Linked DNA regions of Danio rerio. The protein of the gene in region 2 interacts with the protein of the main gene of each other region in a pairwise test. Links are inferred from orthologs where the notes say so. Each region holds a gene or a part of one and is shown on either strand. Other genes may lie near its edges.

The links.
Region 1: the proteins of pias2 (region 2) and tsr2 interact in binary tests that used the Homo sapiens proteins (3 or more experiments, as listed by UniProt). The two-hybrid records come from large-scale screens. The link is inferred for Danio rerio from reciprocal best matches to the Homo sapiens genes PIAS2 and TSR2.

The regions. Positions count from the first base shown.
Region 1 is NC_133183.1:9,897,838-9,902,405, forward strand, and holds the start of tsr2 (pre-rRNA-processing protein TSR2 homolog), read right to left. Parts: upstream 2,875-4,568; 5' UTR 2,862-2,874; coding exon 2,781-2,861; intron 2,168-2,780; coding exon 2,077-2,167; intron 1,749-2,076; coding exon 1,657-1,748; intron 1-1,656. UniProt on the Homo sapiens protein: May be involved in 20S pre-rRNA processing.
Region 2 is NC_133180.1:42,375,913-42,379,429, reverse strand, and holds the end of pias2 (E3 SUMO-protein ligase PIAS2), read right to left. Parts: intron 2,062-3,517; coding exon 1,922-2,061; intron 1,825-1,921; coding exon 1,787-1,824; intron 1,702-1,786; coding exon 1,513-1,701; 3' UTR 792-1,512; downstream 1-791. Other genes in the region: eef2l2 (elongation factor 2), read left to right, coding at 1-93. UniProt on the Homo sapiens protein: Functions as an E3-type small ubiquitin-like modifier (SUMO) ligase, stabilizing the interaction between UBE2I and the substrate, and as a SUMO-tethering factor.

The DNA.
Region 1 (4,568 bases), on a different chromosome or scaffold from region 2:
TTTAACGGGATAGAACAACAGATAGAATTATAGATAGAACGAGCTAAATAGAACACGCTAGATAGAGCAAGACTGATAGAACGAGACCAATAGAGCAAGACTGATAGAATAAGACTGATAGACTGATACAGAAATAAAATGATATAGATAGAATGATATAGAATGAGATAGATGGAATATTTATATACATAAATAGAACAATATATAGATGGACCGATAGAATGATAGATTTATAGAACAATTGATATATAGATAGAATGATATACAGTTGAACTCAGAATTATTAGCCCCCCTGACTTATTAAACCGCTTGTTTATGTTTTCCCCAAATTCTGTTTAACGGAGAGATTTTTTCAACATTTCTAAACATAATAATTTAATAACACATTTGTAATAATGTATTTATTTTATCTTTGCCAAGATGACAGTAAATAATATTTGACTAGATCTTTTTCAAGACACTTTCATACAGCTTAAAGTGACTTTTAAAGGCTTAACTAGGTTAATTAGGTTAACTAGGCAGGTTAGGGTAATTAGGCAAGTTATTGTATAACGGTGGTTTGTTCTGTAGGCAATCGAGAAAAAGTCTAGCTTAAAGGGGCTAATAATATTACCCCTAAAATGGTGTTTAATAAATTAAAAACAGCTTTTATTTTAGCCGAAATAAAACAAATGAGACTTTCTCCAGAAGAAAAAATATTATCAGACATACTGTGAAAATGTCCTTGCTCTGTTAAACATCATTTGAAAATTATTTTAAAAAAAGAAGAAAAAAAATTGAAGGGGGCTGATAATTCTGACTTCAACTGTAGATGTATAAATAGAATGATAGATCGATAAAACAATAGATACAGAGAATGATATATAGAATAACATAGACATATGAATAGACTTATAGATATAACGTTATAGATCTATCAAAGGATAGAACGATAGACTAAAACAACAGAGCAATAGATAAAACGATAGCTAGAATGATAGATATACAGATGGAACGACATAGCTCTGCAGAGAAAACAATAGAACGATAGACAGAATGAAAAATGAGGATAGAACGATAAGATAGAACAATAATAGAATGATCGACAGATAGAATAATAAATATATAGAACAACAGATAAAATGATAGACAGAATGAAAGATCGATAGATCAATAAAACGATGGATAGATGGATGGATGGATAGAGATAGAGACATAGCTATGTCTATGTAAGATTGATAGAACAATAGACAGAATGACAGATATATGGATAGAACAACAGATAGAATGACATGGATATATAGACAGAATAATAGACAGAATGTTAGATGGATCAAAACAATAAATTAATCAAACAATGGATAGAATAATAGATAGAATAAAAAAGATATATAGAACAATGGATAGATGTATAGATAGAACAACAGATAGTATGATATAAATAGATAAAATATAGAAAGGAAGGTAGATGATAATAATCTCTCACACACACACACACACACACACACACACACACACACACACACACACACACACACACACACACACACACACACACACACACACACACACACACACACACACACACACACACACACACACACACACACACACACACACACACCTCCAGCTAGCTTTCATTCAGATCTCTCATGTCAAGACCAAAAGACAACAGACCTGAGGCAGACTGCCATCATCCACCACTGTGTTGAACTCATTGTTCATGAGCTCAGAGATAAAGTCCTCCACCTCATCCTGCTGGAGATCACCTGTGGACACAAACAGACCATCTGTCAGCTCTTAAAGAGACAATTCACTAAAATAGAACAATTTACACACCCTCACCAGCTCACACTCGAGTGGCTTCAAAAGATATTTTGAAGAGTCCTGAAAACCATTGACACCCAGAGTACGAAAAAACACTGGGATAGTCAGTGGTTACTGGTTTCAAACATTCTTCAAAATAACTTATTTTGTGTTTAACGCAATAAAAAAATCAAACTGGTTTGGAACAAGTGAAGGGTGAGAAAATTATGACAGAATGTTCAGTCGTGGGTTTCTTGGCGGTTGCTAAGGTGTTGAGTGCAGCGCTCTGACCGTTGTCGGTGAAGTATTGCTGCAGCGCGTCCACCATCCACTCCGCCTTCTGCTGACTGAACGCTCCACCGAAGCCGTTGTCCACCGCTATCTAATAACAAAACACATTATTTACTGTGTGTGTATATATGTATGTATATATATATATATATATATATATATATATATATATATATATATATATATATATATATATATATGTATGTATATATATATATATATATATATATATATATACATATATGTATATATATATATGTATATATATATATATGTATGTATATATATATATATATATATATGTGTATATATATATATATATATATATATATATGTGTATATATATATATGTATATATATGTATATATATATATATATACACATATATATATATATATACATATATATATATATATACACATATATATGTATATATATATATATATATATGTATATATATATATATATATATATATATATATATATATATATATATATATATATATATATATATGTATGTATATGTATATATACACGAGCAGCTGAAAGAAATATCGCGACACAGACATGTTTACACTGTGAAGCGCATCCTGATATCAGTCTGCTTGCCGATTCATATCAGACTGAAGCTTACGTAATAGATTTTGCAGACATGGTATCATATGATATGTATTTCCGATCACAAATGCTATTAGTTTACTAACTTGCAGCACCGGCCAAGTTTCCAAAACAGCCCGAACTGCTTCACTGAACACCTCACGTGTGGACGATGAGAGCGGCGCCATCTTGAAAACCAGCATACCCGAAGGGTCGATCGCAGATTTCAAGAGATTCCCTAGGCAAAAGAATCGATCACAGAAACCGCCAAAGCACCTTCTTTTCATCCGCATTTACATTTTTCTTTTCAAAATTGCACATATTTTTCAATATTATAAAGTGGTTATTATGTAAGATTATAAACTCAGCATTGTGACTCTAAATACATTATAGGACAGCATTGGTTTAGTGCTGTTGTTTTATTATTTTGCTATTTTCATTGAGGTGTTTTAGCCTATTTTGGTATTGCATAACTATCAGGAACAAACATACAACACAATATAAAAGATGAAACAAAAAAACTAATTTAATAATCGTAAAAAAATATTTATAGATAAATATATAATAATGAATAAAAATAACTAATTAAAATGAATACACAAAGCATAGTGTACAGAAATTCTACATCCAATGATTTTAAAAACTGACAGGGGAATCAAACAAGTGTTATAATAGTTAATACATATCTCAGATTTTTTTGCTTTTCAATCATTTCACAGAAATAAAGTCAAACTAGATACAGAAAACTGTTAATGTGGGAGATGATTTAGCCAATTCCTGTTTGTGTATGTACAATTTTGCCAATAAAATAGAGATTAAAACTAAATTCAAGACTTCTGTTGGATCTGTTTTCTTAAAAATAATAAGTTTAGTCATTTTAAAAATATATTAAAAATATAAAAATTACATACAAAAATATATTTGGCTAGATCCTTTCAGAAATAATGTTAGTATATGTATCAAATATTGTACAATTACTTTAAAAGATTTTGGTTTTTTAATGATAAATGTGTTGTTTAAAAGTTAGGCGTTTGTTTTTTAAGTTTTATAAAGCTAAGGTTTTATAAAGGTTTTAAGGCAGGGGTCACCACTCCCGGTGTAGCAGTCGATTCTGTTCCCTTCTGGATTTCCAGTTCCCCCTCTACAAAGGGTGTTCGTACAGCTTTTGCAGACACCTAAACACAACTGGGTGTACAGAAAGCAGACTAGTGGTTCTAAAAGTACATATTTTTTCTGAACTTGAAAATGAAAAGGACTAATATAACTGTAGGCCTTCACGCAATATTGAACTAGGGTGCATAAACTCAAACATTTAAAAAAAAAGTTAATAATACTAACAAGAACCAAAAAAAAATACTTCATGGGAGAGTTAGATTCATTTTATTAAGCTACTTTGGCATTGCAAGACATGAAAGCAATGTCCATTTTGGCTTTCCGTACACCTAGTTGTGTTGGGGTTGTGTCTGCAGACTCTGTTAGCGGACTTGCTTTGTAGAGGGGGAACCAGAATCGACTGCTACACTGGTCTTGGATGGCCAGTGTCCCTCCAGAGTTTAGCTCCAACTTGCCTCAACACACCTGCCTGGATGTTTCGAGCATACGTAGTAAGAGCTCGATTAGCTTGTTCAGGTGTGCTTGATTAGAGTTGGAGCTAAAATCTGCAGGACACCGGCCCTCCAGGAATAAGTGTGATGACACCTGCCGTTTTAAGGGTTCAATTTCATTAGGCAGATTTTGAAATGGAGTCAAGTAATTAATTACTTATTGAGTAAATAAGTTACATTTTAGATAAGCTAGAAAAGTAATTTAAATACAATTTAAACCATATAATTAGTAATTACTTTTTGAAGTAACTTAATTAAACTGGTCAGGCGAGAGCAATTGGGTAAAAGCTA
Region 2 (3,517 bases):
AGCAAACCGAGCCAAATCGTGGCTGATACCCGTAAACGCAAAGGTCTGAAGGAAGGCATCCCAGCGCTGGACAACTTCTTGGACAAACTATAAAATCCTTCAGATTGTACATGGTGATTCAAGCTATTAACCTTACAATGTTAACGTGATGACTCTGAAGTATGGCATAATGTTTACACAGAAAAATCTATCAATAGAGCTTAAATTAAATATTCAAAGCTGCACATAAATAAATCAGCAGCAAACAGAATCTGAGCACGTTAAACATGAGTGGATGTGTCCATAAAGTAAAGCCAATACAACACTGCTATCTGGACTTAATAAGTCAACTTTAAAATATATTTTTCCAGATGAACATGAAATAGCGCTCTTATCACTGTGTATTGGTTTACATGTTTTAGGATGTATATGTATCATCTCGAACTCTGGCAAAGAACCCAAGAGTCTAAACAGTTCTGCCTGTGCCATCTTTAGTGGAGAGCTACACGCATAAATAAAACTTCAGCCCTGACCGGAAAGGACAATAAAACACTGTATCAACATTTACAGCACATTATTAGTTGTTGTTGTTTTTTTACATCCATCATATGATCATCTTTATTATATGACAAGGAGGAACTAAAAGAAATAAACAACTCCTCACATGCCTTCAGCTCGCTGTACAGCTCACAATTCAATAAGATCAACTCATGTCTATTAGGTAAATTGCCATAAGCAATAAAGTCTGATATTGAAGACAAAACATACGCTTGCATTGTGCGATTCATTTCCTATATCAAAACATTGAAGGATTTTGTTGCTTCATTTTTATTACACATGTAGCTGCAGGTTTCCCATCCAAAATCCATAAATCCAAAATCCCATCCAAAATCCCATCCAAAATCCATAAAATTAGACAAACGTCAGTTACAAATGACAGTTTCTAATGGGAATATGTTAGATGTGTCGAGATATCAAAAACAACTTCCTTATAAAATTAGATTCCAAATCTGATGGCTCCGTAAAGAATAACCACAAACAAATGAAAAACTTTAAAAAGCCTTAATATCAGACAAGTGAACCTCGTAATATACAACAAACATTTTTTATTGCTTTTTATTGTAACAAAAATAATTGCACTGCTGAAATAGACGAAACCTAAAATGAGCTGCCGCTGAAAACCTCATTCCATTTCAACTGCAGATCCGTTGACGCAACACAAGAGTGACTGAGACTAGAGTGCTGTTTTTTTTATGTGTCTGAGCTTTCCAGTCCACTTAGTTATGCCATTTATTTTGCTTTGCGAAGAGTCATTGTTTAACTCATAGATTCCCCAATTCAGGAGACAACCGCTTGATTCAGATTTGAAATTTAAAACAGCATTGTTGCTGACCAAGATACATCATTCAGAGACCTTCATGGCAGTCCTCGTAAAACAAGATTCTTGAGGTCCATATTCAAAAGGTAGAATTGTTCTTTGCTTGCCTCGAATGCAGTTTGTTTTGTGACTGGCTGATCACGCTGCGCTAACATTCAGTCCAGGGAGATAATGTCTGATAGACCTGAAGATCCTCCAGTGATGACTCCTGTCTCATGACTCGAGCTGCTGCTGTGGGTTGCTGTCTCGTACTGAGCCGATGAGGAAACCAGACTGGCGCTGGTGGTGGCACTCTGAAGGCTGCTGGAGAGGCTGTCTAAAAATATGGGCCCTCTGAAATGCTGCTGAAGAGACCATAAAGAAAACAAGTGGTTAACAGCTGTGAAATCATACCGCATGCAATCCCAGCATTGCTTTTAAAGAACATACCTGAGGATCCCCTTGAATCAGAGAAAATAAGTCAAGACCTTTGGGAAAGATGTGTACAGTAGGACAAAAGTTAGTATTCATGTTAAAGCTAAAGCCTGATTAAAAGCATTCTTGGCAGACTGGACAAGTGCGTACTTTGCATATCTGTGGGAATAGTGGACAAGGAGGAATGGTGGAATGGAACAGAGTAGTCCGCTATTGAGGAGGTCAGGTATGAGGTGTCCAGCGACTGGACATTTGGCACCCGAACAGTTGATGGCTGGTAAGTCAAAACGCTAAAATATAAGGAATCAAAACATTACAACTGTTAAACAGGAAAAACAGCTAAAGTGCTAAAAATACTGCTGATGGGATTTAGAATAAAAAGATGAAAATGTGTGCACTTAAATGCAATTGTAGGGGCTTCCCTTTCAAATGCAAATTTATGGAAAGCCAGCATTTACATCAATTGAGCAACTAAGTTTACCAAGGTTTGCTGTAGTAAATTAACTGGTAATTGCTCTAATATTTTACGTCCAAATGAAAGATACAATTTGCATCCGTGACGTAAGTGGACTACCCACAGCTGATTATCATTGGCTTTGTTTGGCAGGCTAATTTGCTGTGCTGGTCATTATGAAAATGAGCTGCAGCATCTGCCCTTTGAAACATTTTGGCTCTTAGAGTGCAACAGAACATAATACACTTTCATTTTTAAAGATTTGATATATTCACAGTCAGCGTTGGGGAAAGCTTCTTTAGAAAGTAATGCAATACAATATTGATTTACTCAACAACAAAGTATCTAGTTGTGTTACTCAGCTACTTTTTATGGTAATAATGCGTTACGTTACTTTTGAGTTACTTTTTTCTAACTTGGATGAGGCTTGATATGTTTCAGAACTTGCAGGGTTTTTTTTAATGGAGGAGCTCTGCAATGAACAACACTCTGTATATCCTTCATTTACCTTTATAAAACACATTAAAAAACTCCCTGACCGAGAGCTCTAGATGCTGTATTTAGATTAATGAAAACCTAAAGCAATGTGTTTTCTACTTTTGTACTTTTTGTCTTCTTACTTAAGAATACTTCCATCGCAAAATATAAGGCTTTGCCATCTTCATTTCTGCCTGTTCTCTCATTGAGAACAGGATTCAATGTGACTACGTTCATTTTATTTCAGCTATTTATTTTTTTTAAAGCAAATTAATTAAACTAAAAATTAACTTGCATTACTATTTTCAAAAAGTAACTCAAATATTATTACTGATTTTTAAAAGTAATGCGTGACTTTACACGTCACTTAGAAAGATTATTATGTAACTCACATTACTTGTAATGAGTTACCCCCAACACTGTTCAAGCTACTTGCAATGGTTTATAAATAGCATTTATTTAATTTATTTGCTAGTATTTCAAGTTTTCCCACCACCACAATGAATAATTTGCATTTAGTGTACAGTTCTGGGCTTCTTTAAAATGTATACACAAAACTCCAACACTTAAAGGGATAGTTCACCCAAAACTGAAGATTCTGTAATCCTTCACTCAACCCTTCACTTTGTCACAAACCTGTTAAGAGTTTCATTCTTCTGTTAAACACAAAATATTTTTAAAAAATCTTAAAAACAGGTAATCCATTGACTCCATAGTATTTAGTGAACCATACTTTCATTTTAGGGTGAAATACCCACTTAAGATGGTGGAAAAAGACACATTCGATCAGATTTGTCTGATCATTTGATTTGATT